3 linked regions of the Macaca mulatta genome follow. The protein of the gene in region 2 purifies or fractionates together with the protein of the main gene of each other region. This does not show direct contact. Links are inferred from orthologs where the notes say so. Each region holds a gene or a part of one and is shown on either strand. Other genes may lie near its edges. The genes, in order: HDAC6, TUBA1B and CCT6A.

Evidence for each region.
Region 1: the proteins of TUBA1B (region 2) and HDAC6 purify together in Homo sapiens (affinity purification with western blotting; 4 studies listed by BioGRID, with this or other methods). This does not show direct contact. The link is inferred for Macaca mulatta from reciprocal best matches to the Homo sapiens genes TUBA1B and HDAC6.
Region 3: the proteins of TUBA1B (region 2) and CCT6A purify together in Homo sapiens (affinity purification with mass spectrometry; 3 studies listed by BioGRID and IntAct, counting the BioPlex papers as one, with this or other methods). This does not show direct contact. The link is inferred for Macaca mulatta from reciprocal best matches to the Homo sapiens genes TUBA1B and CCT6A.

Annotation. Positions count from the first base shown.
Region 1 is NC_133426.1:48,890,821-48,900,415, reverse strand, and holds part of HDAC6 (protein deacetylase HDAC6), read right to left. Parts: intron 6,465-9,595; coding exon 6,338-6,464; intron 6,229-6,337; coding exon 6,163-6,228; intron 6,069-6,162; coding exon 6,009-6,068; coding exon of another isoform or gene 6,000-6,008; intron 5,941-5,999; coding exon 5,851-5,940; intron 5,512-5,850; coding exon 5,405-5,511; intron 5,316-5,404; coding exon 5,248-5,315; coding exon of another isoform or gene 5,236-5,247; intron 5,008-5,235; coding exon 4,839-5,007; intron 4,751-4,838; coding exon 4,622-4,750; intron 4,427-4,621; coding exon 4,258-4,426; intron 3,560-4,257; coding exon 3,426-3,559; intron 2,846-3,425; coding exon 2,777-2,845; intron 2,666-2,776; coding exon 2,473-2,665; intron 1,061-2,472; coding exon 911-1,060; intron 1-910.
Region 2 is NC_133416.1:56,290,917-56,301,263, reverse strand, and holds TUBA1B (tubulin alpha-1B chain), read left to right. Parts: upstream 1-5,081; 5' UTR 5,082-5,174; coding exon 5,175-5,177; intron 5,178-6,746; coding exon 6,747-6,969; intron 6,970-7,086; coding exon 7,087-7,235; intron 7,236-7,536; coding exon 7,537-8,517; 3' UTR 8,518-8,693; downstream 8,694-10,347. UniProt on the Homo sapiens protein: Tubulin is the major constituent of microtubules, protein filaments consisting of alpha- and beta-tubulin heterodimers. Microtubules grow by the addition of GTP-tubulin dimers to the microtubule end, where a stabilizing cap forms.
Region 3 is NC_133408.1:72,116,948-72,127,196, reverse strand, and holds the start of CCT6A (T-complex protein 1 subunit zeta), read right to left. Parts: upstream 5,574-10,249; 5' UTR 5,490-5,573; coding exon 5,353-5,489; intron 4,920-5,352; coding exon 4,856-4,919; intron 3,000-4,855; coding exon 2,865-2,999; intron 1,997-2,864; exon of another isoform or gene 1,863-1,996; intron 1,745-1,862; coding exon 1,571-1,744; intron 1,071-1,570; coding exon 967-1,070; intron 1-966. UniProt on the Homo sapiens protein: Component of the chaperonin-containing T-complex (TRiC), a molecular chaperone complex that assists the folding of actin, tubulin and other proteins upon ATP hydrolysis.

The sequences.
Region 1 (9,595 bases), on a different chromosome or scaffold from region 2:
GCATAACAGTAACCAGGGGCCAGGCGCGGTGCCTCACGCCTGTAATTCCAGCACTCTGGGAGGCTGAGGTGGGTGGATTTCTTGAGGCCAGGAGCTCAAGACCAGCCTGGCAGACATGGTGAAACCCCATCTCTACTAAAACTACAAAAATTAGCCGAGCGTGGTGGCTGGTGCCTGTAATCCCAGTGATTCAGGAGGCTGAGGTAGGAGGATCACTTGAACCCAGGAGGTGGAGGCTGCAGTGAGCTGAGATTGTGCCATTGCAGTCCAGCCTGGGTGACAGAGTGAGACTCTGCCTCAAAAAAAAAAAAAAAAAAAAAAAAGAAAAACAAAAGAACAAAAAACCAGATCCAACAGATTCAGCATTTACCATATGCCAGATATTCCTCCATGATTAGCCTGCCTCATAAAAATGAGGAAACTGAGGCACAGGGCATAGGGATACTGGGCCATTTACAAAGGTCAGTGAATTTCCTTTGTCCCAGGAACTTGTTAGAGGCAGTTTAGGTAGAGTAAAAAGTACAAACCCTGGAGCCAGGCTGCATGGGTTCAAGTCCTGGTTCTGCCATCAGTAAATGTGCCATCTCAGGCTAGTCATCACACCTCTTTGTGCCTCAGTTTCCCTGATCTTGAGAGAGGAAAATGAGGTAAGCTGACCCTACCTCATAAGGCTGCCTTGCCAAGTAACTGAATGAATAAGACACATGAAGTGCTCAGAAGAGTGCTCTGTACATAGTGAGCACTCAATTAAGGCTGTTAATGTTGCTGTTATTCTTATTACTACCCAGTATGTGCCAACAATCCCAGGCAGGGACACTCAAAGGAGATTTCAGGAAACTGTCCTGAGTGATGGTGCCAACATTTCCAAACTACCCTCCCACTGTGGGAAGAGGGACCAAGAGAGAATTACCTCTAGAATAAGGATAATGCGGCCACTGGCAAGGCCCATCAGCAGGTGGGTGAGGTGGGCATAACCCTCAGGTGACACCTGGCAGCCCCCCAGCGGGTCCCCCCGTGCAGCATCAAAGCCAGCTGAGACCAGCACCAGTTCTGGGTTAAACTGAGGCAGGGAGAGAAGAGATGTATAAGCATGAGGGTGGGGGCTTTTGGTAGATAGTAAGTGATGGCGACCCAGAGACATGGAGAAAAGGACAAATGAAGACATGGAGATGCCAGTCAGAGAGATGGAGACACAGGATCTGCAGACTGGGAGATGCAGAAGCAGAGACTGAAAATGAAGAGGGGAAGAAAAGAAATACAGACTCAGAAGAAACAGATGCAGACTTAGAGACCTGGAGACAGTAGAAAGGGACAGATGGGGACATGAGACATAGTCATGAGACATGAGACAGACTCAGATGTCAAGAGAGTGACATGAAAAACAGAGAGACAGAGACATGTCCTTACACACACACACCCCAGGGTCAAATGTGGGACACACATACACAACATATAGGGTTTTATATACATAGTGTCAAAGAGAGGTGTTTGCACACTTCCATAACAGAAGATGGCAATGCAAGTGCCACACACAGAGAAGATAGTCACACAAAGCCACAAGTACTGCCACACACAGTCCCATATAGACCAGTACTACATATCTGCACTAGTCATGTACACACACACACACACACACACACACACACACATAGTTTCTCAAAGAGGACAATAACCCACAGCCACCCTGCAGAGTCACATACACATGCCATTACCACACAGCCACAATGGTGACATGCACTCTGGTGTGTCCACAAGAGCTGGTTACTTGCACATACAGTTGTACACATACAGAAGGCTGTCCTGGCCACCCGCGCACGTGCAGATCCAAAGATGCACATCAGCGCCCAGGGTGACAGAGTGGTGCTTACACCCCCGCCCTCCCTCCCAGAGTCAGCCATACGCAAGCCACTAGCCCCCCAGCTCACACAGAGGGAAGGCAGCTACCTCCCAGTCAGAGACACACACATAAATAGCCAGGGCAGACAGCCAGACAGTGACTGCTGTAACACACAGCCTTTCACATCCAGAGGGTCCCACACAGGCTGTCACAGAGATGGTTGCATTTAGTGACATACAATATCACACCCATCACACAGAGAAAAGGTGAGAAATACCTGCCTGCACAGAGTCGCACACACACATACTCAAGCACTTGTGATGGCACACACACAACACAGATCCAGCCAGGACACGGGCCACTGCTGCATAGTCAGAAGGCCCTCACACACACAGCCAAGATAGTCACCCACATAGTGTCACACAGAGAAGGCAGTCATATAGTCACCTGTGCACAGGCAAATACACAAAGTGATCACAGTCACCAATTGCCCCGGTAGCCTCATTAATCACCCATGGGCTGTCTCATATCATCAGCCACCTGGCAGTCAGACGCACACATGCTGAGGAGGCAGGTCCAGGCTGCCACCTGCACAGGCATGTCACATACATCCTGCGATCTATCCTGAGCTGTACCTCGTAGGCAATGGGAAGCACCAGGCGATGCCAGGCAGCTAGGTAGTCAGCGTCACCCATGCGGGGCCCGTTCCATGCCACGTTGACGGTGAAGCCTGTGCCAGCAGCCCGGCCGATCTGGCTGCTGGCACCCTCATCCCCCATGGGGAAGAAGGTGCCATGATCATAGCGGTGCAGGGACACATATAGCACACTGCCGGGGAGGGGGTAGGAAGGGGGCCATGGCTGGTTAGGGGCTCCAGTACCCCTGAGGTGCTCACCCACCTCCCTGATCACACTGCGGCCCCTGATTGCAGCCCCTTACCTGGGGTCATCCTCAAACATGTGCTGAGTTCCATTACCATGGTGGACATCCCAATCCACAATCAGGATCCTGGGGAGAAGACAGCACCTCAGTAACCTAGGATACTCACCCCCTGGAAGAGGGCTGGGCCAGACCCCTGGGGTCTGTAGGGGCATTTAGTGCTGAGTGGCAGGACCCTAGTCCTATCAGTTAAGGAGAAAAGTCTGATCCTGGTTCCCGAGGGCTGCCCTGTAGGCCTGAGCAAGTGCTCGGGGCTGGGCCCTGGGCTCTTCTGGGTCATTGCTAGGGAACTGGACCCTGCACCTTGGGCAGCTAATGCTGGGGACTGGTTCTTGGGTCTTCTGGAGTATGCATCAGGAGCCTGGACCTGGGTTCTGTCGAGGCAGCTGCTATAGGCCAGAAATGCTGGGGTGGGACCCTGAATCCTGTTTTATAAGCACCCAGGTAATATGATCTGGGGGTCCTATCTAAATAGGCACTGAGAGGCTCCATCCTCAGTCCTTCTCTGGGTAAGGGCTGTACCCTTACTTCTTTCTGGGGAAGTCCTGGGGAGCTGGACCATGGGGCATGATGAGTAAGCAATGGGCTGGGGAGAGCATCCAGGTCCCCACAAGGATCAGGATTTGGGGGGTCCCCAGGGAGTCCTTACCGCAGGGCACGCCCACTGATAGCCTGGGCATGGCGAGCAGCCACAGCCACGGAGTTGAAAAAGCAAAAACCGCAAGCTGCATCCTGCTCTGCGTGGTGTCCTGGGGGACGCACCACAGCAGCACCATTCAGAACCTAGGAAGCAGCAGGGTGCTAAGATCGGACAGCCTGCCCTCCAGCTCACCCTCACCTTCCTTTCTTCCTTCTTCTTTTTTTTTTCTCGCTCTGTCGCCCAGGCTGGAGTGCAGTGGTGCTATCTAGGCTCACTGCAAGCTCCGCCTCCCATGTTTACGTCATTCTCCTGCCTCAGTCTCCTGAGTAGCTGGGACTACAGGCGCCCACCGCCACGCCCGGCTAATTTTTTGTGTGTTTTTTAGTAGAGACAGGGTTTCACCGTGTTACCCAGGATGGTCTCGATCTCCTGACCTCTTGATCCGCCCGCCTCGGCCTCCCAAAGTGCTGGGATTACAGGCATGAGCCACCGTGCCCAACCTTTTTTTTTTTTTTTTTTTTTTGACACAGAGTCTCACTCTGTTGCCCAGGCTAGAGTGCAGTGGCACAATCATGGCTCACTGCAGCCTTGACCTCCTGAGCTCACCTCAGCTTCTCAAAGCACTAGGATTACAGATGTGAGCCACCGCACTTGGCCACCCTTCCCTTTCTCCAGTTCCTTCCATTATTACTGCAGCCTCTAGGCCCGCCCCCTCCTGTGCCCCTCCCCATGGCCCCTTTCCTCAGGCCCTGCTTGACTCTCTCAGAGCCTCCAGAAACAGCAGGTGGCCCTCTTTTTCTATTCTCCCCAGGTCCTCCTCTCCCCAGCCCAGAGGACACACCTCTCCCGAGAGCACAGCCTCCACCAGGCGGCAGGCAGCGCCAGTGGCAAGCTGTGCACAGGCGAAGGTACTGGGGCAGATGTAGATGGAGTCAAAGTTGGAACTCTCACGGTGCAGCTCCCGGGTTTTCATTTTCTCTGTGGCCCGGAGATGACCCACATACTCAGCACTGGAGGTACAGAGAGGCGCACCGGCAGGACAGTGAGGAGGGTCCATCCCCTCCCTGGAACCCACCCGCAAGACAGGAACTTCAGCCCCTCTCAAGTCCTGCAGCAGCTCCCTGGGAGGGGAAACCCAAGCTCCAGCTCCTGAGACCTCATCCACAGTCCTGGGAAGCCACCCACCCCAGGCACCAGGGTCTGACCTGTGGCAGGTGAGCAGCTCAGCCTCTGTGGCGGGGCGCGGTGTCAGGGTGAGGCAGCGCCCAGCAAGGCCCAGCTCCTCCAGACGGCACATGATCCGCAAGATGCGCTGTGGTACCTCAGGGTGGTGGCTAGCAGTGGGGAAATGAGAGGTAGGGGCTTAGTGCCTGATGGGGAGGGACCCCCAACACCTACTCATCCAGCCCTCCAAATGCCTACCTGTCCCACAAGTTGCAGTGATTCATCATACTTTGGTCATAGACCAGCCCTGTGCGAGACTGTAGCACTGGCCACGTCAGGATTGGGAGCACAGGGGGCTCCCAGGGTCCTTCCTCCTCATTCTCCTCTACATTGTCCTCCTCCATGTTGTCCCCCTCCACAGTCTCAGCTACAAGGGGGAGGCCACGTTTGTCCTACCCTCTCACTCTGAATCCCCGTCATACTCTGGAACTCAGGTGACCCCAAATAGAAAATGGGGTGGGAGGCCTGAAACCAGGGCCCAGGGAGAGAGAGGGCCTGACCCTCTACCTCCAAGGCAGCCCAGTAAAGTCAGAGAAAGTCCGAAGACAGTCTGCCCCAGGGCTCATCCCACGTCCACCCCACACCAGGCCCATACCCCACTTCCTACTTGATCTCACAAGAACCTCCCAGAAGGGCTCAAGGGCTTCCAGAGCACAGGAGACTGAAGCCTGGGCACTGCAGGGCAGGGCAGGGAGAAAATATGAGGTCAAGGAATGTGGGCAGGCAGTGAGGCTCCCGCTTTCCCCTCCTCCACTGGGGCTCACCTCCGGCAGGGGGCACCAGGTGACTCCAGCATGGGGCAAGGGTCTCCCAGAAGGGTGTGGAGCGAAGCACTGACACCTTCAGCCAGGGCGCGGAGGTTGTAGCCACCCTGGGGCAAGGAGTTGTGAAGGGGGATCAGGAAAGGACCAGACATGACCAGGGAATAACAATAATGATGATAATAATAAGAGAGTGCATACCAAATGTCAAGCAACAAGGAACTTAGAAGGGGGCCTCATTGAATTCACTGGACAATGATATGAGGTGATTACCATTATTATGCTCGTTTTACAGAAGGAAAGCGGAGGCACAAAGAAGTGAAGTGACTTATGCAAGGTTGTCCAGCTAGTAAGTGAAATGCTGGGCCAGGAACTCCTTTTGGACTTGAAAGCTTCGTTCTTAAGCCCTCCAGGATCCACAGGCTGAGGGACGAAGGTGAGTCACTCACCTCCAGAGACAGTATCAGCTTGCCTCCTGCCAGACCCATGAGCAGGTGGGTTAGCTGGGCGAACCCTGCCGGAGTGGCGGCCATCTCACCCTGGGGGGACATGGAGGGTCAGTCTGGCTCCGTGCAGCCCATCTGCCGCCCCAGGGAGCCTGCCTTACCTTGGGGTCCCCTTGCAGGGCATCAAATCCAGCAGCCACCAGGACCAGCTGAGGCTGGAACTGAAGGAGGAACAGACTCCATGAGGCTACCTGCCCTCACGGCCTAACCTTCAAGGCCACTCCTCTCCCCCAACACACCCCAGACCCCCAGGACCTCGAGGGCGACTGGCAGCAGGACGTGCAAGAAAGCAGCAATGTAGTCAGCATCCCGCATCCCCACCTGCAGACACAGGAGTGTAGTGGGGGATGTTCAGCCACCTGTCCCGAGCTGCTGACAGAAGGGCAGGGCTGGGCCTCACTTTGGGGACAAAGGGTGGGTGGATGCTGACCTGGTTCCAAGGCACATTGATGGTATATCCTTGGCCTTGGCCGAAACCTGTGGTGGACCAGTTAGAGGCCTTCAGGTGGGGCCAGAACCTACCCTGCTCATAGCGGTGGATGGAGAAATAGAGGACACTGGGGGCAGAAGAAAAAGAGGTAAGAGAGTTGGAGAAGAGTCAATCCCCATAGACACTCCCAACCCAACAGTTGCCAGTTTCCTCTACCACTCATTTCCCCATTCAACCACTCGTTCATTCTCTCATTCATTAATTTCCCCATTAATTATTTAATCTATGAATCCATTCTTCCATTAATTTATCCTTACATTCAGTCACCAATTTAATTATCTTACCATTCATCCATTCTTATCTTTATTTATCCATTACCTCACTCACTCATTCATTTAGTCTCTCACTAGAACCTCTTCCTCAGCAAACATCACTGCCCCCTCAGTGCCCACCCAATTTCAGGCTCAGCTCTAGGGTCTATCCCAGATCATGGGGGCTCCTGACTCTGTGGGGTATTCTAGATCATGTCTGCCCACTACCTGCCCCTATGACAAAGGTAGTAGTAACAGCAGGTCAAACACTGTGACACTGGAGTCCCAAATGGAGCATGGGGCTCTTAGCTGCAGGGAGCTAGCTAAGGCTGAAAAAAGCCTCAAGCCAGGCTGGGGAGTTGGGTGATTCTCTAGCAGGAAGTAGAGAGACCTGGGGGGAAGGGGTGAGACTTGCTTCTGTGGGTGGAACTGGAGACGGGGTGCTGGCTGGGGCTGCCACAAGGCCAGTGAGAGGGCAATTCCTTCTCCCCAATGCCTTACAGGTCACCTCTACTACTTCTTCTATTTTATAGGCAAGAGAGTGAGCACTCAGAGGGATGAGATGGACCGACATGCAAAATAGATACTGAAAAGATGCGATGCACGTGTTTTAACAGAAAGCCCAGCAAGGGGCCATGGGAGGGCTTATTTCTGACTGGGGAAAGCAAAATGAATAATCTATCATCCATCCATCCTTCTATCTGGTCATTTACCCCCTGCCTTGTTCCAGAGAGGATCTAAGGCAGCTTTTTTAGGGAAATGCAAGAAATAGTGGTATGCACTGAATCTAGACAAACTTAAGAGTCACATTTTAATGTGTTGATAATGTAGTTGTGAAATTTAATGCAAGTGATATAAAAAGATTCTTAAAATTGAGGGAAAAGAGCTTGGAATCTGGGAATAAAAACATGCAAAAGCTCTGGTCTTGAGTGGGTGGAGGATGATTGTTTTATTTTTGACATTGATAGATAAATCTTGGTTCTAAACTTTTGGTAAGTTAATCATTAGAGGAAGAGAAACACAGTAGGACATAAAAATTATCATCAGGGGCCGGGTGCGGTAGCTCACACCTGTAATCCCAGCACTTTGGGAGGCCAAGGTGGGCGGATCAGTAGAGGCCAGGAGTTGGAGACCAGCATGGCCAACATGGTGAAACCCTATCTCTACTAAAAATACAAAAAATTTTCTGGGCGTGGTGGCATGTGCCTGTAATCCTAGCTACTTGGGAGATGGAGGCAGGAGAATTGCTTGAACCCAGGAGGTGGAGGTTGCAGTGAGCTGAGATTGGGCCACTGCACTCCAGCCTGGGAGACGGGCGACAGAGTGTGACTGTCTCAAAAAAAGAAAAAAAGAAAAGAAAAGAAAAGAAAAAGAAAAAAAAATCATCGGGGAAGACAGCAATAAAGAAAAGATCTGGCCGGGCGCGGTGGCTCAAGCCTGTAATCCCAGCACTTTGGGAGGCCGAGACGGGCGGATCACGACGTCAGGAGATCGAGACCATCCTGGCTAACCCGGTGAAACCCCGTCTCTACTAAAAAATACAAAAAAACTAGCCGGGCGAGGTGGCGGGCGCCTGTAGTCCCAGCTACTCCGGAGGCTGAGGCAGGAGAATGGCGTGAACCCGGGAGGCGGAGCTTGCAGTGAGCTGAGATCCGGCCACTGCACTCCAGCCTGGGCGACAGAGCGAGACTCCGTCTCAAAAAAAAAAAAAAAAAAAAAAAAAGAAAAGATCTGAAGAAAGCTGACTCTAAAAGAGAGCCATCAAAGTCAACAAACAACAGAACTAGCACTCAAGGAAGCTAAGTTTAAAAAGAAAACAGAAGGGAAATTCAAAATAAGTTCAACCACCTTCAAGTTAAATGGTGGACTGATAGCACGGGTTTACCTCACCCTCCTACCACCCCGGTCAAAATACAGTAAAGAAATTGTAAATAAACAGCAACCCAGAAAGAGAGAGTGGAAGAAAGGATGTCAGAGAATAAGAGACTTCAATGAATTTCTAGAAAGTAGACTTTGAGATTCCAGGAGCCCCAGGGTGCTCTGTCTCATGCTGAGCAGGATAAGGGGGCACCCAAGATAACCTGAGGTTTCTTTTCTGGAGAAATCCAGTACAGATCCAGGTCAATGCACACAAAATCCCTTCTGAAGAGCCCCACCGAATCACCAATGCACCAAAGTTATTTGTTTAACTACTTAGTTTTAGATCATGTGCTTTCCTTGTCTTCACAACAGCATTTTAAGGACTGTCCAGTTTGTCTCCCTGCTGCTGGAGTTCAGAGACTGAGAGATGGGGAGCTGGGAGATTCAAGGGTATGGACATGTTCTTTTTGTTTGTTTGTTTACACATGTTTGTTTATAAGGAAGAATGCACTGAATGTGCACACAATGTTTCACATCTGTGTGTGTAGTCAATAGTGTACCCACGAAAGAACACACAGCTATAGCCTCCTATGCATTTATTCAAACAAAAAGAATGATTAATGATATTAAAGAATTCTTTGAATGACAGACCCTTGGCAGATTGAGAAAATAATTCTTGTTAATTTTCAGGTATTGATACTAAGGTAATGCTTTTCTAAAAAAGTATACTTATGTTTTAGAGATGCATTCTGAAATATTTACAGGAGAAATTATATGGTAGGTATCTGGGATTAGCTTTGAAGGAAAACAGGAAGAGGGCAGTGGGTACAGTTATAGATGAAATGAGATCGGCCAATGAGTTGATAAATGTTGAAGCATTCAATTCCAGAAGCCAGAAATGAACAAAATAAAGAATGTAGTAGGAAAAAAATAATAAAGATAAAACCAGAAAAATTAATGAAGTATTAAAAACCCACCATAATAAAACAGTAGAGATGACCAACAAAGCCCAAAGCTAGACTGGGAAAGGTAAGTAGAACAGACACACCTTTGGCAAGGCTGAGGGAAAAGAGATGCTACCCCAAAG
Region 2 (10,347 bases):
CTGACCTCAGGTGATTCACCTGCCTCCGCCTCCAAAGTGCTGGGATTACAGGTGTGAGCCACCACGCCTGGCAGGAAGCAGCTTAATAATGTCTGCAAGGAGAGTTTGAGATCAATCTGGGAAACATGGCTGTCCTCTACAAAAATACAAAAATTTCCTGGGCACCTGTAGTCCTAGCTACTTGGGAGGCTGAGGTAGGAGGATTCCTTCAGCCAGGAGGTCAAGGCTGCAGTGAGCTGTGATCATACCACTGCTCTCCATCTCCAACGTAGGCTACAGAGTAAGACAATGTCTCAAAAACAAAACAAAACAAAAAAAAGACTCCTATAAAAGTAGAGTTTAGACAAGGCTTGGTAGTTCAGGCCTATAATCTCAGTACTTTGGGGGGCCAAGGCTGGAGAATCGCTCGAGGCCAGGAGTTCAGACAAGCCTGGCCAACATAGCAAGACCCCATCTGGGAAGAAAAAAAAAAAACAGAAAAAGGAAAAAAAAGCACCCTCTGAGTATCAGTTGGTTTTTACTCTTCCTAAGACTTTTGATCACTATCTTGTTATTACTAATCTTTTGCCCTTGCTTGTTTAACCTCTTGAAGTTTGTGTCTACTAGATTACAACAATCCAACATAAAGAGGATGCTGGCACAAGGCTTCCAATCCATACCAACTTCTGACCTGGGAAATAAAGACATATTGCCTTTAGGCCCCTCAGATCAGGCATCCAAAGATTTTTACTTCTTCAGTACTGGGCAGGGCTATGCCCATTGAATCATCAGAACATCGCAGGGTGTGCAGATCACAAGGTCAAGAGAACGAGATCATCCTGGCCAACACGGTGAAACCCTGTCTCTACTACAAATACAAAAATTAGCTGGGCGTGGTGGCATGTGCCTATAGTCCCAGCTGCTCAGGAGGCTGAGAAGGGAGAATTGCTTGAACCGGGAGGCAAAGGTTGCAGTGAGCTGAGATCGCTGCCACTGCACTCCAGCATGGCGACAGAGCAAGACTCCATCTCAAAAAAAAAAAAAAAAAAAAGAATCGGCCAGGTGTGGTGGCTCACACCTTGTAATCCCAGCACTTTGGGAGGCTGAGCCAGGTGGATCACCTGAGGTCGGGAGTTTGAGACCAGCCTTACCAACATGGAGAAACCCCGTCTCTACTAAAAAATACAAAGGCAGGGCACAGTGACTCATGCCTGTAAACCCAGCCCTTTGGGAGCCCAAGGTGGGCGGATCACCTGAGGTCGGGAGTTCGAGACCAGCCTGACCAACATGGAGAAAGCCTGTCTCTACTAAACATACAAAATTAGCTGGGCGTGGTGGCGCATGTCTGTAATCTCAGCTACTCAGGAGGCTGAGGCAGAGAATCGCTTGAATTTGGGAGGCAGAAGTTGTGGTGAGCTGAAATTGTGCCATTGTACTCCAGCCTGGGCAACAAGAGTGAAACTCTCTCTCAAAAAAAAAAAAAAACAAAACATCAGAACATCATGCAAACACAGACCTCCTGTGGCTCCCTAGAAACCAACTGCAAATTCTTTTTTTTTTTTTTGAGATAGAGTCTCACTCTGTCTTACAGGCTGAGTGCAGTGGCGTGATCTCGGCTCACTGCAACCTCTGCCTCCCAGGTTCAAGAGAATCTCCTGCCTCAGCTCCATAATAGCTGGGACTACAGGTGCGTGCCGCCATGCCCAGTTAATTTTTTGTATTTTTAGTAGATATGGGGTTTCATGGTGTTAGCCAGGGTGGTGTGCAGTGGCCTGATCTGGGCTCACTGCAAGCTCCGCCTCCTGGGTTCACTCCATTTTCCTGCCTCAGCCTCCTGAGTAGCTGGGACTACAGGCACCCGCCACCATGTCCAGCTAATTTTTTAATGTTTTTAGTCGAGACGGGGTTTCGCTGTGTTAGCCAGAATGGTCTCGACCTCCTGACCTTGTGATTCGCCTGCTTCGGCCTCCCAGAGTGCTGGGATTACAGGCGTGAGCCACGGCACCCAGCCACCAACTGCAAATTCCTAGGAGAGAATCCTGTCCCAAAGATCAATGTCCACTGTCAGCAGGAAGAAGTTACAAAAAATGACCTTCACCCTTCATCTCTCCTTAAGATTAGAGAAGTAGAGGAGAAGAGTAGAGGAGGTATTATGTTAGGGAAACAGGAACGGAAGAGCTAGGGTAACACGGCGAGGCACGGTGGCTCACGCCTTTAATTCCAGCACTTCGGGAGGCCGAGGCGGGCGGATCACCTGAGGTCAGGAGTTCGAGACTGGTCTGGCTAACATTGTGAACTCCCTTCTCTACTAAAAATACAAAAATAATCTGGGCGTTGTGGCAGGTGCCTGTAATGTCTGCTACTTGGGAGGCTGAGACAGAAAAATCGCTTGAACCCGGGAGGCAGAGGTTGCCGTGCGCCGAGATTGCGCCATTGCACTCCCACCTGGGCGACAAAAACAAAACTCTGTCTCAAAAAAAAAAAAAAAGGGCTAGGGTAACACAATTTCAAAATCAATTCCAAATGTAAACTAGCAAAGCATATTCCTTACCAGATACAACCCGTGGTCATAAGATGTTTACAGCTAAGGAAGCAGTTTAATAATGCCAGCAAGGGACCAGGCACGGTGGCTCATGCCCATAATCCCAGTGGATCATGAGGTCAAGGGATCGAGACCATCCTGGCTAACACGGCAAAACCCCGTCTCTACTAAAAATACAAAAAATTAGCCGGGCGTGGTGGCAGGTGCCTGTAGTCCCAGCTACTAGGGAGGCTGAGGCAGGAGAATGGCGTGAACCTGGGAGGCGGAGTTCGCAGTGTGCCACTGCACTCCAGCTTGGGTGACAGAGCAAGACTCCATCTCAACAACAACAACAACAACAACAACAACAAAAAAAAAAGCTGGCAAGGACAAACTCCTATGACAACAAAATGTTCAGATGTCCCAATATCACATAACAATTCCCCCCCCTTTTTTTTTTGGAGATGGAGTTTCGGTCAAAAAAATAAAATGAAATAAAAAGAAGTTCTCTTTTAGTTTGATTACTCTGTGAAACCTGAGGTATAATCAAGACCTAAAAAAAAAAAAAAAAAAAAAGGCCCTCAAATACTTACTCATTCACAACAGGGAATACACAGATAAAAGCTAATAGTTTTAGGAAGGTATCTGGGGAGACATATAGGCCCCTGGGAGGAAATCCCTGAAGTGGTGGCTCTGATAATCTGCAGAGAGCTAGAAGGGAGGTTCTCCCCTCCCCCAGAAAAATCTATCCCAAGACCATAAACTACATCGCTAATCCTTGGAAATACATAAAGTGGTTAGGGTTAAAGGGTGGCTTCAAAATGGTTCTAGCAGAAACCTATTGCGGTTACTAAACTATTCAAATCATTTGCCCAGAGATAGCTTTTCTGGATAAAATAGCTTTATCCAGAGCCGACAGCAAAATGGAGTTCAGCAGGGTGGTTCCCTAACATTCATTCTTCCCGTTAAAGCAAGCTTATGGTTTTCAGATTCGTTTTAAGAATAAGAGTGGGGGTGGTCCGATGATAGTGGGTTATCAGAACTTATTAATATTAGTGTCACTAAAATTAGTATACCATCCCTCACTGCTAAAATTGACAGGCTTAATTTTTTTTTTTTTTTAAGAATAAGAAGAGGAACAAAATAAGTGAGAACAATATTCAAATATATTCCTGCCTCCTCTACCCAGTTGGAAAAATGTGTGCAAATTTGCATTTTGAATCAAATGCCTTTAACAAGACTACCAAAACTATCAGAAATAAACAAGAACCTCTTGGTCTGCAGGTCAGGTTCAGATGGGTGGAGACACACATATATAGACATACACATATATAACTCCTTACAACATACACTTATTAACCACATAAATTTGCTATTTGTCTGAAATTCGGTGCGAAGGATGAAGGCTGCACCAAATTTTAATAGGCTAATAACTGAATATGAACTATGAATTTTTAGTGTTTTAGGTTTAACCTTTTTGTTCCTCCTATACTGGGCAGATATTCTGAATAGTAACATCAATACGTTTCGGCTAGGACCATTTTAAAGCCACATTTTAAACCTAACCACCTTCTGCATTTCCAAGGATTAGCAATGTGGTTTATCGTCTTGAAATAGATTTTCCAGGGGCGGGGCGGAGGGAGACCTAGTCTACTCCTATAATGTGGGCCTCCAAGCACTAAGCTATAACCAATTGATGTATCTTGACACAAGGCCAAGCAGTCTTATTTACAAAACTCTTAAGTTGCACAAGGAATCTCTACTTCCTAACATCCTTCAGTGTCAATTTATTTCCTCCCTATCCAATTCTTTCCTCACTTCTTCAACTCAGCTACCACCACTGAAATGTGTTTTTAAATCTCCTTTTCAAAAAGCCCCTAGAACTGTTTCATAAAATTGATGGCTTAGATCTAAAATTGGGGCCTACTTTGCCCTTTTAACAGCTTCAATGTTAAATGCTTGGGCACTCTTCGAATGACTGAATATCTACTTGCTTTCAGCATTTGGTACTCTTACTTTGGAGAACAAGTCATTAAAGTAAACCATGTACACCTATTCGGTTTTCTAAAGCTCGCGTTTTTCACATTATCAGGTAAGTACAGAATGCACTGCCTTAAAAGGAACTGCGAAAATAAAAAGGCAAAACTCACTGACAAACTGTGGCAACACGAAATTAATCAGCTGAGCTATCCGAACCACAACTTTCTGCATTTCACGGTGCTTCGTCTTTCAAATTGTATGGCTCTCTCAAGTCCTAGGCTTCCTCCGAATTAAGTCAAGCCTCGTCACCCATTCCCTGGTCGGTGTCTTTCCGACTCGCGCCCGCCCCTCGCCAGGCCCTCGCAGCCATGCGCCGCACACTGCAGCACTGGCGCGCGCGGCCCGCAGGCGCGGAGGACCCCGCCCCGCGGCCGCGCGAAGGGAGGGGGCTCGGGGCCCGGAGCCCGCCTCTGCGGCTGCCAGGCCGGGCGCCCAGTGGGCGCACGGGGCCGGAGGAGGGGCCCGCGGCCGCGACACCGCCTGTGCCCGCCCCCTCTCCAAAGCCGCTACTTAAGAGGCTCCAGCGCCGGTCCCGCCCCAGTGCGTTACTTACCTCGACTCTTAGCTTGTCGGGGACGGTAACCGGGACCCGGTGTCTGCTCCTTCCGCCTTCGCCTCCTAATCCCTAGCCACTATGGTGAGTGAGCCGCGCGGCTCCCGGCTGCTTTCAGGGAAGCAGGGAAAAGCGAGCTGGCGGGGCGCGGGGACCCTGTATACAGCCGGGGAGGTCTGGTTCCAGAGCCGTCCTTTTGGAGGGCGGAAAACAAGGCGAGAGGCCAGGGCGGGAGTGGTGAGACCTCGGTGTGTGTAAATAGCTGGGGCCCGGAAAGGTCGAGGGGCGCCAGGATTTCTTATCGGACTCTGGAAGGGATGAGGGGGCTCCGGCTGCCTTCTGCCGTATCCGGAGCTCTCTTTCAGCGCGTAACTCTGTACTGGGAGCGGTCCCTCGAGTCCCCGCAGTCCTTTCCAGCGCATGCCCTTCCCCCGCTTTGGGTGGACGCGCGCGCGCGCGGACTCTAACATCTTCCAGCCTTCACTTCCTCTTGAGCGCGAAAAGCGGGGGTGGGAAGCAGCTGGAGACAAAAGCGCGCACGCGCGACCGTTACCTTCACGCCGTTCCTGGGCGGGAAACCGCCACTGCAGTCTGCGCATGCGCTCTGGGTCGCGGCGAGACTAGGGCTACAGGGCGTGTCTCCTGTTAACCTGAGTTTTCTTTTTTTAATGAAAGCAATAAGAGGAATGTGGGGAAGGGCCCTGTCAATGTACCGCTATACACCAGTGAATTAGGACAGTTCGACCACAACAGTCTGTAGAGGCCACCTGTCTCTCTGCTGCGTTAGGAATTCAGGGGAGCAGGTGGTGGCAGTGAGGGATTTTGAGGGAACGGAAATCGGATCTTGACCCAGATCTGGGCCGCCGATAATCCCCAACTTCGCTCAGACTGCTGTGGAGGTGTTAGGCCCAGCCCGATGCCGGCGGGCAAGGGAGGATGGGCGGCCTGGGCAGCGCCTTTGCAGACGTGGCCATTTCGTGCCTCTGCAGCGCCGCCGGGGGGCGCGAGAGCGCGCGCCCTGAATTGCGCATTCATCCTGTGCCGCAGAGCCCCGCCCCATGTCCCTGCGGACCGACATTTCTTATGCGCTGGTCTGGCCACGTGCTTCCTGTGCTAGGAGCTGCCCGGAAATGTGGCCACCTAGTCTAAAGTGGTATTCTGGGGCCTGAGCGCTGGGTGGATGCCTACCTTCCTGTCTTGGTCCTCCAAAGGAGGAAGCTGTGACTGAGCTGTATTGGTCTGGAAGGAGGCCTTCCCAGTTTAGGATGGGAAGGTAACAGTCATTAAAAGCAATGTAGACGATAAGCTGTTCTCAGAAGAGTAGTACGTCTTACGTCGCTTTAAAAAAGGAAATTTGTTTTAAGATTACGTGAGTAGCCTAGGTAACACAGCCAGACCTCATCTCCACAAAAAAAGATGAAAAAATTAGCCAGGCGTAGTGGCCTGTGCCTGTGGTCCCAGCTGCTCCAGAGGCTGGGGTCGGGGGATGACTCAAGCCCAGGAGGTTTAGGCTGCCTTGAGCCTAGACGGCATCACTGCACTCAAGCCTGGGTGACAGACTTTATCTCTAAAAAAATAAAGATTGCATGAGTATTTTGTTCCACCTGACAGCCACCAATAGATTAAATTGCGATATCTTTTTCCTTCCCACAGCGTGAGTGCATCTCCATCCACGTTGGCCAGGCTGGTGTCCAGATTGGCAATGCCTGCTGGGAGCTCTACTGCCTGGAACACGGCATCCAGCCCGATGGTCAGATGCCAAGTGACAAGACCATTGGGGGAGGAGATGATTCCTTCAACACCTTCTTCAGTGAGACGGGCGCTGGCAAGCATGTGCCCCGGGCCGTGTTTGTAGACTTGGAACCCACGGTCATTGGTGAGTTGACTTCAGTAACCCAAGTGAGATCCCAGGATGCTGGGACAGGAGGTCTGTCCTGGGGGCTCCGCTGGTCACTCACCCACTCCCTCCATCCTTCTCTCCCTCCTCCTCCAGATGAAGTTCGCACTGGCACCTACCGCCAGCTCTTCCACCCTGAGCAGCTCATCACAGGCAAGGAAGATGCTGCCAATAACTATGCCCGAGGGCACTACACCATTGGCAAGGAGATCATTGACCTTGTGTTGGACCGAATTCGCAAGCTGGTAAGCACAATATATAAATATGCATTTAATGCGGCGAGATGGTACCAGTGCAAGTTGGGTGGAGTGACTGACAACATTCATTCTTTAGCACCTACCAAAATGTGGAATAGACTGCTTACTATGTTCATTGGACTTCTAAATCAGATAGTCCCCTAGGTTATGGACAGTTTGTGGATATGTTTGTTTTCCCATTTCCTTATGCTTATGTCAATGAGATGGTTCATAATCTAACAATTTTAAATAGAAATTCTAAGAGAATGTTTCTTGGCATTAAAATATTATTTTTTTTATTTCCCTACAGGCTGACCAGTGTACCGGTCTTCAGGGCTTCTTGGTTTTCCACAGCTTTGGTGGGGGAACTGGTTCTGGGTTCACCTCCCTGCTCATGGAACGTCTCTCAGTTGATTATGGCAAGAAGTCCAAGCTGGAGTTCTCCATTTACCCAGCGCCCCAGGTTTCCACAGCTGTAGTTGAGCCCTACAACTCCATCCTCACCACCCACACCACCCTGGAGCACTCTGATTGTGCCTTCATGGTAGACAATGAGGCCATCTATGACATCTGTCGTAGAAACCTCGATATTGAGCGCCCAACCTACACTAACCTTAACCGCCTTATTAGCCAGATTGTGTCCTCCATCACTGCTTCCCTGAGATTTGATGGAGCCCTGAATGTTGACCTGACAGAATTCCAGACCAACCTGGTGCCCTACCCCCGCATCCACTTCCCTCTGGCCACATACGCCCCTGTCATCTCTGCTGAGAAAGCCTACCATGAACAGCTTTCTGTAGCAGAGATCACCAATGCTTGCTTTGAGCCAGCCAACCAGATGGTGAAATGTGACCCTCGCCATGGTAAATACATGGCTTGCTGCCTGTTGTACCGTGGTGATGTGGTTCCCAAAGATGTCAATGCTGCCATTGCCACCATCAAGACCAAGCGCAGCATTCAGTTTGTGGATTGGTGCCCCACTGGCTTCAAGGTTGGCATCAACTACCAGCCTCCCACTGTGGTGCCTGGTGGAGACCTGGCCAAGGTTCAGAGAGCTGTGTGCATGCTGAGCAACACCACAGCCATTGCCGAGGCCTGGGCTCGCCTGGACCACAAGTTTGACTTGATGTATGCCAAGCGTGCCTTTGTTCACTGGTATGTGGGTGAGGGGATGGAGGAAGGCGAGTTTTCAGAGGCCCGTGAAGACATGGCTGCCCTTGAGAAGGATTATGAGGAGGTTGGTGTGGATTCTGTTGAAGGAGAGGGTGAGGAAGAAGGAGAGGAATACTAATTATCCATTCCTTTTGGCACTGCAGCATGTCATGCTCCCAGGATTTCAGCTTCAGCTTAGCTGACAGACATTAAAGCTTTCTGGTTAGATTGTTTTCACTTGGTGATCATGTCTTTTCCATGTGTACCTATAATATTTTTCCATCGTGTCTCAAAGTAAAGTCATTAACATCAAAAGCTTTGTTTCCTGTGTTTTCTAAAAGTGCCTTGGTTTTTGGATTCATCTATATTTGGAGTATCGAGTCTGCAATTTGCTGGTGATGTCAGGGATCCTACTTCCTGTGCAGGCACCTCTAGGGAAAAGGAAGCTCAAGGGACTAGAAAGGCAGAAGCCCTAGATTCTCAGACTAGTTTACCACCTCATCCCTTGGCGTAGGGGGCGGGGAAACTGATGAAAGTCATTCTGCTAATCTAGAGCTCATTTAGCTCTTCAGAGTATGACTGGGTAGTTACTAATGAGTTATGTATGGGAAGTATACGTTTTGAATATCCGCTAAGTTGCTGCTGTTTAAAGTGGCCTGCTAACCTTGTTAGTGTAAGAAATTTCACAGTGATTTTTGGCTGGTCATGGTGGCTCATGCCTCTAATCCCAGCACGAGGATTTCCAGCTGTCAATGTACCAGTTTCCAGCCCTATTGTGATAGGAAAAAGGACCAGAATTCATGGTAGTCAATAAAAGTCATGCTAAGAAAGAAGGCTAAACAATAAGTGATATGCATGGGTGGAAGAGGACTACATTACATGTGGCAAACATTTGTACAAAGTGGCAACATTTGTAAAGGTTAGGATAAAAACGTATAGCATTTGGCATGGTTTACATCCTTTCAAATATTTTGGCTACATGTAACAGACTTGTAGGCACAGAGAATGTAAATAGAGGATTTAACCTAGGAGAAAATGTAGATTTCAAATCCGTAAAGTACAGGAAAATTGTGGCTGCTAAAGACCCTGATGGCTGCTAAAGACCAAGAAGACTGAAAGAATGCATGAGGCTTTTTTGAAAAAGCAGAGAAGAGGCCAGGCACAGTGGTTCATACCTGTAATCCAAGCGCTTTGGGAGGCGGAGGCGGGCGGATTACCTGAGGTCAGGAGTTTGAGACCATCCTGGCCAACATGGAGAAACCCCATCTCTACTAAAAATACAAAATTAGCTGGACGTGGTGGCTCACCCTTGTAATCCCAGCTACTCGGGAGACAGGCAGGAGAATTGCTTGAACCTGGGAGGAGGAGGTTACAGTGAGCCAAGATTGCGCCATTGCACTCCAGCCTGGGCAACAAAAGCAAAACTTCATCTCAAAAAAAAAAAAAAAAAAAAAAAGTAGGGAAGTCTACAATTTTCCCAGTTTTTTTTTTTTTTAGCCCATAAATCCTACAAATTTACAAAATGTCAGCCGTCCCTATCTGTGGTTTCCATATCTAGATTTGACTAACTGGATTTAAAATACTTGGAAGCAACCGGCCCTGGTGGTTCATGCCTATAATACCAGCACTTTGGTCAAGGCAGGAGGATCACTTGAGCCCAGGAGTTTGAGACCAGCCTAGGCAACCTAGGGAGACCCTGTCATTACAAAACAAAAACCAAAACAAATTAGCCAGTGTAATTGTGCTGCTGCATTCCTGCCTGGGTGCCAGAGAAAGACCCTATCTCAAAATATATGTTTGGAAAAATGGATAGTTGTGTCTGAACTGAACATGTACTTGTCCCCTTTATTCTCTAAATGATATAGTATAACAATTATTTACATAGCATTCACATTGTATTAGGTATTATAAGTAATCTGGAAATGACTTAAAGTATACAGGAAGATGTGTGCAGGTTACATGCAAACAC
Region 3 (10,249 bases), on a different chromosome or scaffold from region 2:
CACACACAAAAAAGAAAAACACAAACATTTTCTAAGTCTTTGAAAAAAATTTTTTAAATTTCTCTACTACTTCTCATTATGCTTCGTACCTAGCACATCAATAAATGCCAAATGACTGATGTCATTCACTTTTCAGAATCACTCTAACCATAAATATAACATTACATTCACCTTATTTCAGGAGAAAATATTACTAAAAGTAAAAACAATATTCATCTAGCAATTTATCCAGCTTACATCTTCAGGTAAATATACAACATTTTATACCCAAAGATATTTTAAAAATTGCCAACGATTTCACGCCTGTAATCCCAGCACTCTGGGAGGCCGAGGCAGGCGAATCACGAGGTCAGGAGATTAAGACCGTCCTGGCTAACATGGTGAAACCCCTTCTCTACTAAAAATACAAAAAGAATTAGCCAGGCGTGATGGCGGACACCTGTAGTCCCAGCTACTCAGGAAGCTGGAGCAGAATGACGTGAACCCGGAAGGCAGAGCTTGCAGTTGAGCAGAGATTGTGCCACTGCACTCCAGCCTGGGCCACAAGAGTGAGACTCGGTCTTAGGAAAAAAAAAAAAAAAAGCCAACCATATATTGTACAAAGCACCCCTAAATTTCTAAACACAGTTTATTTTTTGTTTTTTTGGGACGGAGTTTCACTGTTGTCACTCAGGCTGGAGTGCAATGGTGTGATCTCAGCTCACTGCAACCTCCACCTCCCAGATTCAAGCGATTCTGCTGCATCAGCCTCCCGAGTAGCTGGGATTACAGGCGCGTGCCACCACGCCCGGTACACCCAGCTAATTTTTGTAATTTTAATAGAAACGGGGTTTCTCCATGTTGGCCAGGTTGGTCTGAACTCCTGACCTCAGGTGATTTGCCCGCCACGGCCTCCCAAAGTGCTGGGATTACAGGAGTAAGCCCCCATGCCTGATCATTAGTATTTCACAGTATTCTACCACCTACCTTGTATCAGTTTCAGATTTATGTTTCATCTCCATGATCTCAATCATGAAGAGATCAATAGGTTCATCTTGTTTTTTAATGGCCAAAATGGAGTCCACTACAGCCTGCAATTGGAGGAGCATAACCATTAAGTAAATTCAATTTGCAGCAGCAGAAACATCTTGCTTTTCCGAAGGTTTCATTTTACAATTATACACTGATTTAAGTCTTTTTCTATGAGCAAACAGAATATATGTAAACAGCAACAACTGAAGCCATTTACATTTCTGAAATCTCAATCTGTAATTCCCAAACATTAACATTAATTAACATTAACAATTCTCCTGTTTCATTAAAAATACTGGTAACTTGGAAGCTTTCTAGTAACAAAATCTCCACTTTACAAACCTTTTAATGAAAGCCTCAATTTTACTTTTATAACCCAGTTACATATACTATTATTTGAATTTCCTCATTTTAGAGACACAAATTAGGTATTATTGCCCCAAAAATGAACCTATACAGCACCTTGTAATTGAAATTGGGAATTATATTCATGTTTCTACTATCAGAGATTTTCTATATAGGTGTATTATACCAGACACAGACAACATTTAATATATACCTCTGTTAAGACATCTGCAAGTTCAGCATGAACTTTAGTACGAAGAGATGTTCTGGCCACATCTATAAGTGTTTCCCTGTCCATCTCTCTGCTTACTTTGACTTCTTCCAAAAACTGAAGGGCCTTTTCCTTTGCAGCTTCAAATCCTTCAGTGATTATTCTGGGATGAAGGCCCTACAATAAACACACATTAACACTTGCATCAAGTAGGTACAACCACAGTTCCTGACAAAGTTCAGTTAATTCCTGAAGGGGTATTCTGGATCATCATACCTTTGAACACGAGGTAATATAATGTGCTGGCTTTCAGAATACATTTAAAAGGATAAATATTCCTTTCAATGCAGAGGAGAAGAACAGGTAATGCTCTAGCACAGGGTCAAAGCCAAGGAAACTATAAAGCACACTTGGGTATTCACTGTGCAAACCACTCTGAATCATTTCAAAATTGACACTGTGTCCCAACCAAGGACTCGCAGATGGTAACATTATTCTATCTTTTCTTTCTTTCTTTTTTTTTTGGAGACGGCGTTTCGCACTTGTTGCCCAGGCTGGAGGCAATGGCACGATCCCGACTCACCACATCCTCCGCCTCCTGGGTTCAAGCGATTGTCCTACTTCAGCCTCCCAAGTAGCTGGGATTACAGGCATGCGCCACCATGCCCGGCTAATTTTTGTATTTTTAGCAGAGATGGGGTTTCTCCATGTTGGTCAGACTGGTCTCGAACTTTCGACCTCAGGTGATCCGCTCACCTCGGCCTCTCAAAGTGCTGGGATTACGGGTGTGAGCGACCACGCTTGGACTATTCTCTTTTCTATAGGTAATCTCAAACTAATTCACATCATTTACTAATTATTTAATAAAGACTGCTCTCTTTTTCCAGGAAATTCTGACAACAGATTCATACTCACTGAGGTTTGTTTTAACCTTGGAACTAGTCAGGGCTTAAAAAAGTGGAATTTATCCAAATATAAGCTTTTGGATGCTTTTTTCCTAACAAATATTCCTAGTCCTAAACATTCCACTTTTAGATCTAAATTATTAATCTACACTAAGGACAGATACAAATCACATAGGCAATGCAACTTCATTACAAAATTATTTTCAGGCCAAGAAAGGTTCCATAACCTGTCCAAGGTCACAATTTGTTTTAGACCAGGACAAAGACCCAGATTTAAGCCCCCTAGTTCTACTGTATGGCCTCAGCTATTAACAGCACATCAATTTGTATAAATAAGTATCAGACACTTCCTATATACAATAAAATATTACAGAAACAAGAGTTGTGCATACTTCAGAAATGTAGAGATCCGCCTGTTTCAGTAGTTCTCCAATGATTAGGACATTGGAAGTCGTACCATCACCAGTTATATCATCCTGGGCTGTTGCTACCTTTGCTATTAAGGAAGCTGTTGGATGTTGAATTTGCTGAAAGTAGAAAAAGAATGAATCACTTAAAACAACATGAAGCAGTCTAAATATAACACAAACAAAATGTAGGAAGGGCCTCTTTAAGTGCTATCTACTTGAAAAAGCTACCCAAGTGTTTGGCTACAAATTACTTCGATTAGCTATCACGCACATGCAATTATGATTGAAACGTTTTCATGTGTAATTTATTTCCCAGGTTATCTCTACTTTACAGATGAGGAAGCTTGAGGCTAAGTAAAAGTTTACTCAAAATGACAGAGCTACCAGTTAACAGTAAAACATAATTTTACATCCTTGCCTCTTTATGGCAAGTGTATGGCTCTAGTGAGAATAAGTCAGGTATCTCCTAAAGGGCACACACATCGTAATTATTTTTGTAGGTTTGTAATTTTTTCAAAGAAAACTGAAAGACTTCTGGAGATTGGAGAGAGATTCCAGTGGGAGGAGACTTCTGAGGTGGTAGCAACAATTTATTTCTTAGCTACAGTGGTGGTTGTGTGTGTCCATTTTATAATTTTTTCTTAAATTGTAAATGTTCAACGTGCTTCTCTCTACTTATGCTGTATTTCTCACACACTAAAACCCAAATAATTTTTTGTTTTGTTTTGGAGACAGTCTCTGTCACCTACATTGGAGTGCAGTGGCACAAACTCGGCTCAATGACACCTCAGCCTCCCAGGTTCAAGCAATCGATTCTCCTGCCTCCGCCTCTGGAGTAGCTGAGACAACAGGCGTGCAGGACCACGTCCGGCTAATTTTTGTATTTTTTGTAGAGACAGAGTTTTACCACGTTGGCCAGGGCTGGTCGTGAACTCCTGGCCTCAAATGAGCCACCTACCTCAGCCTTCCAAAGTGCTGGGATTACAAGCATGAGCCACCACACCCAGCCCCCAAACAATTCCGACATCAAGTTTAACTATGCTCCACTTTTCCAACACGGGCCACCATTGAGCCCACTAAAAACAAACACTACACCTCCTAGGTTACCAAGTCCTTACTAAAGATATTTCATTTGGATGTTGATAGCTTGGTACGCTACTAGTAAAACCCTAAGTATTATTCTGAACTCAAATCAGCAGGAAATCATTTCCTGTTCTTGAACTGCTAAGTTTTGGGAATTCAGGGGATGAGTAAAACGCATACTCCCCCCAATAATCTCATATTCTCCATCCCTAAGACTTGCAAAGAGACAGATTTCAATCCCCTCCACTTGGAGATGCAGATGAGACCTAACGGAGAAATTGCTGTTTTAAAAAGAGAAAAACCGGCTGCGTGCGGTGGCTCACGCCTAGTAATCCCAGCACTTTTGGCGGGCGGATCACCTGAAGTCAGGAGTTCAAGACCAGCCTGGCCAACACAGTGAAATCCTCTCTCTACTAAAAATACAAAAATTAACTGGGAGTGGTGGCCCGAGCCTGCAATCCTCGCTACTTGGGCGGCTAAGACAGAAGAATCGCTTGAATCCGGGAGGTGGAGGTTGCAGTGGGCCAAGATTGTGCCACTGTGCGACACAGCAACACTTCGTCTAATAAAAACTAAAAAAAAAAAAAAGAAAAAAAGAAAAATCATCCTCATGCATTTTGCCCATGTGATTGTGTCAACCTCTCAATTTTTCAAATTTTATAATAATTAACTTTAATATACAATTACAGTCCTTTAGCCCAGACTGTGAATAGCAAAAAAGCAGGAATTCAAAGGCAGAGCTGTCAGACTCCAGGCACTGTACTATTACTGATTACATGCCACTTCTAAATGTTCTCCTGCCTTGAAAACGGACACTGCAAATCTTTCCACAAAGCAAACAATCTACGGAAAATCAAGACCTTTCTGACCTAGAGCAGAGCACCTCTCACCATTTCGTGAAGCAGCACATTGCCGTCTTTAGTAAGTTTGATGTCTCCAGCGCCAGAAACGAGCCTGTTTAAGGGACAGAAATGAATCAGAAGTGACTTTTCAACGATAACTAAAAGTCCCATTAGAAAACGGGCTCTTCCCAGATCTTACGGAGCCAGGGATATGTGGCTAGTTATCTCCCGCAGGCTGGAGGAACAGGTGTAGTGCCCACCCCGTCCCCGCAGAGATTGTGCCGAGTCCTCAGAGTGCCTGGAAGCCCCAAAGGGAGGGGAACGCCGCGCTCTAGAGACGCTTTGTTCTCCCCAGAGACGGCATGAACGCTGGAAGAAATGGCTGGGACGGTGGGGCTTAGCAGAGAACAGGACCGACCCCGAAGGACGCGGAGAAGGGCGGCTGCGGAGCCCCGAGGCGGCGGGCTCCAGCCCGTGGTCCCGGACCAGCCAGGTGCGTGGCGGCGCGCGGTGCCCACCCGGCCCTCCCTTCAGCCCCGCCTCACATCTTCATGGTGCCCTTGGGCCCCAGGTTGGTCCTTAGCACGTCCTGCAGACCCCGCGCCGCGCTGATGTTGACCGCCAGGGCCGCCTGCGCTCGGGCCACCTCGGCCTTGGGGTTCAGGGTTTTCACCGCCGCCATCGCTGCTCCAGCGGAGGAAAAGGAAACGAGGCTGAGAACCCAGAGCCGGCGCGGCGTGGCCAGGAGGAACTATCCGGGTCTTCTGGAAAAGTCGGCGCGTCCGGCCCGCCCCCAGCGTGCCCGCGCGCCTCCGCCATTGGACCACAGGTCGTCCGGCGCCCGCCCATTGGTCCGTGGCTGCACGGCGCCTACGGTCCCACCCCTCGCGCGGCGGCCGCGGCGTCATTGCGCACGGGAGGAGCCTATTCCCGGCCGACCGTGCTCCTTGGTTCCGGTGTCGCAGCTCAGCGGGGCCCAGCTTTGTGGACCCGGGAGCCCAGGACGCAGGCGGGGCTTGTGCTTCGCGGGGGCAGGGCGTAGGGTGGGCCTCCTCCCGCCTCTACTCTCGCGGTTTGCTCCTCAGTCTCCTTTCTTTGCTGATTTTATGCCTTTCTTTCTTTTTTTGAGACGGAGTCTCGCTCTGTCGCCCTGGCTACAGTGCGGTGGCGCGATCTCGGCTGACTGCAAGCTCCGCCCCCCGGGTTCGCGCTTTTATCTCTTTCATTGGAGCTTTCTGGACCCTGTGCTTGACGGTGCCCTAGGTGGCTTGGAGACACACGCGAGTCTGATAAGCACCCTGCCCCGGGATCATGCGGTGCTGTGAGGCCTAGCGAAGATGAAGATAGAATGCAAGGTAGAAAGTGCTGGATACCTTTAGAAAGCTGCAGAACTGGTGCGATGGGAGTTGAGACGTAAGAACCTGCCCGTCCGTAGGGCTCTGGATGCTGCTGAGGCCCGAGGCCCCCATGGCACATTTGAAAACTCACCCTTGTAGAGTCATTCCTGCCTTTGAGAGGACTCCCTATTAAGGTAAATTTCCAAAGAGCTCCACAATTGTTTCCAGTATCCAGTGTCCCGCCAAATACCAGGGATTCCGTAACACGTGATATTTTACTTTATTTATATTATTTTTGTAGACATAGGGTCTCACTATGTTGCCCAGGGTGGTCTCAAACTTCAGAGTTCAAGTGATCCTCCTGAGTTCAAGTGATCCTCCCGCCTCGGCCTTCCAAAGTGTTGGGATTACAGGCGTGAGCTGCCGCGCCCGGCTGATATTTTATTTTTAATAAATAATGGAAATTGTTCTGAATTCAAAAGGCACCAAAGGGCATGTAGTGGAAATTAAATCTTCCTCCCACCTCTAGTTCAACACTAGAGACAAAGTTACCCCTGGATACTCTATGAATTTTCGGAATGCTTTCTGAATTTATAAACTTATATATGAATATAATCATTTCCTCACACAAATGGCAATTCATAATACACACTGTAGGGTGTGTTATACTTTAAGTGTCTTGGAGATTGTGCTATATCAAGACTAATAGGAAGTCCTCGGTAACAGCTGCGTGATGTTCTTTGTAAGAATGACACAACTAGGGGCCAGGGCTCAGTGGCTCACGCCTGTAATCCCGGCACTTTCGGAGGCTGAGGCAGGGGCATCACTTGTGCCTGAGAGTTCAAGATCAGTCGAGGCAACATAGCGAGACTCCATCTATACAAAATATACAAAAATTAGCCGGGTGTGGTGCTGCACGTCTGTGGTCCCAGCTACTTGGGAGGCTGAGGTGGGAGGATCGCTGGAATCTGGGAGGCGGAGGTTGCAGTCAGCTATGATCTTGCCACTGCACTTCAGCCTGGGCGACAGAGCTGACCCTGTCTCAAAAAGAATGATACAACTAACTGGTCACCTACTGACTAATGTTTAACTTGTTCCTAATCTGCTATTCAGGCTGCAGTGAACATCTGGATATATGATGCTTTTAGGTGGGTTTGTGTATTTGAGAATCACAAAAACATCTATATATGTGACTAGTAGCACTGCACAATAGAAGATGAGTTATTAGTTCCATAGGCATTACATGGTGTGCATTCAGATTTATTATAACTGCTGTTAAAAATGTTATGAGGAGGCCAGACATGGTGGCGCATGCTTGTAATCCCAGCACTTTGGGAGGCCGAGGCGGGCGGATCACTTGAGGTCAGGAGTTCAAGACCATCCAGGCCAACATGGTGAAACCCCGTCTCTGTAACAATACAAACATTAGCCTAGCCTGGTGGTGTGCATCTGTGATCCAAGCTACTAGGGAGGCTGAGGCATGAGGATTGCTTGAACTCAGGAAGCAGAGGTTGCAGTGAGCCAAGATCATGCCACTGCACTCCAGCCTGAGTGACAGAGCCAGACTCTGTCTCAAAAAAAAAAGGCCAGGAACAGTGGCTCACACCTGTAATCCCAGTACTTCGTGAGGCCGAGGTGGGCAGATGACTTGAGGTCAGGAGTTCAAGACCAACCTTGCCAACATGGTGAAACCCCATCTCTACCAAAAATATAAAAAGTTAGCTGGGTGTGGTGGCGCATGCCTGTAATCCCAGCTATTTAGGAGGCTGAGGAAGGAGAATCATTTGAATTCTGGAGATGGAAGTTGCAGTGAGCCAAGATCATGTCACTGCACTCTAGCCTGGGCAACAGAGCGAGACTCCTCAAAAAAAAAAAAAGGCCAGGCACAGTGATTCACGCCTGTAATCCCAGCACTTTGGGAGGCCGAGGTGAGCGGATCACGAGATCAGGAGTTCGAGACCAGCCTGACCAACGTGGTGAAACCCGTCTCTACTAAAAATACAAAAAACAAATTAACTGGGCATGGTGGCCGGCGCCTGTAGTCCCAGCTACTCTGGAGGCTGAGGTGAGAGAATGGCATGAATCCAGGAGGTGGAGCTTGCAGTGAGCCGAGATGGTGCCACTGTACTCTAGCCTGGGCGACAGAGTGAGACTCTTTCAAAAACAAACAAACAAAAAAAACCTAGAGGATGGGTTAATGGGTGCAGCAAGCCACCATGGCATATGTATATCTGTGTAACAAAACTGCACATTGTGCACGTTTCCCTGAATTTAAAGCAAAAAAAAAAAACAAAACCAGGTGTCGTGGCGCATGCCTGTATTCCCACCTACTTGTGTGGCTGAGGCAGAATTGCTTGAACCTGGGAGGCGGATGTTGCAGTGAGCCAGAATCGCAGCACTACACTCCAGCCTGAGTGATAGAGCGAGACCTGTCTCAAACATAAAAAGAATTTGTAAAAAACAGTAAGAAGAATTCCCATACTCTACCCACAGATCCTTCTATTGTAAACATCACATTTAACCCTGGAATAAGAAATTAACATTGATGCAGAATCCAATCTATAGATTTCATTCAAATTTTGCTAATTATATCATGAATGTTCTCTCTCTGGCCCAGGATTCTATTTATCTAGAATTACTCTTCACATTTACTTGTCACGTTCTTCAGTCTGGAACAGTTCTGCAATTTTTCAGTCTTTAATGATCTTGGCATTTTTTTTCAGTACTGTCCTGTTATTTTACAGACTGTTCCTTACCTAAGGGTTAGTTGATGTTTCCTTATGATTTTTTTTTTTTCAAATTTTTTAAAGACGGAGTCTCGCTCTCGCTCTTTGCCCAGGCTGGAGTGCAGTGGCGCTATCTCTGCTCTCTGCAGCCTCCGCCTCCCGGGTTCAACTGATTCTCCTGCCTCAGCCTCCGGAGTAGCTGAGATTACAGGCACCCACCACCATGCTGGGCTAATTTTTGTACTTTTAGTAGAGTTAGGGTTTCGGCATGTTAGCCAGGCTGGTCTCAAACTCCTGACCTCAGGTCATCTACCTGCCTTGGCCTCCCAAAGTGCTAGGATTAAATGCATGAGCCACTGCACCTGGCCTGATAGTTTCTTTTTTTTTTTTTTTTTTTTTTTGAGACGGAGTCTCACTCTGTCGCCCAGGCTGGAGTGCAGTGGAGCGATCTCGGCTCACTGCAAGCTCCGCCTCCCGGGTTCCCGCCATTCTCCTGCCTCAGCCTCCCGAGTAGCTGGGACTACAGGCGCCCACAACCACGCCCGGCTAATTTTTTGTATTTTTAGTAGAGATGGGGTTTCACCATGGTCTCGATCTCCTGACCTTGTGATCCGCCCGCCTCGGCCTCCCAAAGTGCTGGGATTACAGGCGTGAGCCACCGCGCCCGGCCCCCTGATAGTTTCTTATGTTTAAATGCAGGTTATGGCCGGGCGCAGTGGCTCATGCCCGTAATCCCAGCCCTTTGGGAGGCCAAGGTGGGTGGACCATGACGTCAAGAGATTGAGACCGTCCTGGCCAATATGGTGCAATCCCGTCTCTACTAAAAATACAAAAAATTAGCTGGGCATCGTGCTGCACGCCTGTAATCCCAGTTACTCAGGAGACTGAGGCAGGAGAATCACTTGAACCCGGGAGGCGGAGGTTGCGGTGAGTGGAGATCACGCCACTGCACTCCAGCCTGGGCTATAGAGCAAGACTCCGTTATCAAAAAAAAAAAAAAAACCAGGTTGTTCATTTTTGGCAAGAACACCAGAGAGTATGTGTCCTTTTCAAGGCATCATAGGAAGAGTCACATGATGTCAGTTTTTCTCATTCCTGGTGATGTTAACTTTGTTCACTTGGTTAATATTTGCCAGATTGCTCTACTTTAAAGTTACTAGCTTTTCTTTGTATTTAATAAGCATTTAATAAACATTTTGTGGGAAAATATGTGACTGTTCTGTTTTTCATCAGAACAGTGCCTACTAATTTAAGCATCCATCGATTTTGTTGTTGTTTTTGAGACAGGGTCTCACTGTGTCGTCCAGGCTGGAGTGCAGTAGCTCAATCACACAGCTTACTGCAGCCTGAACCTCCTGGGCTCAGCTTCTTATCTCAGC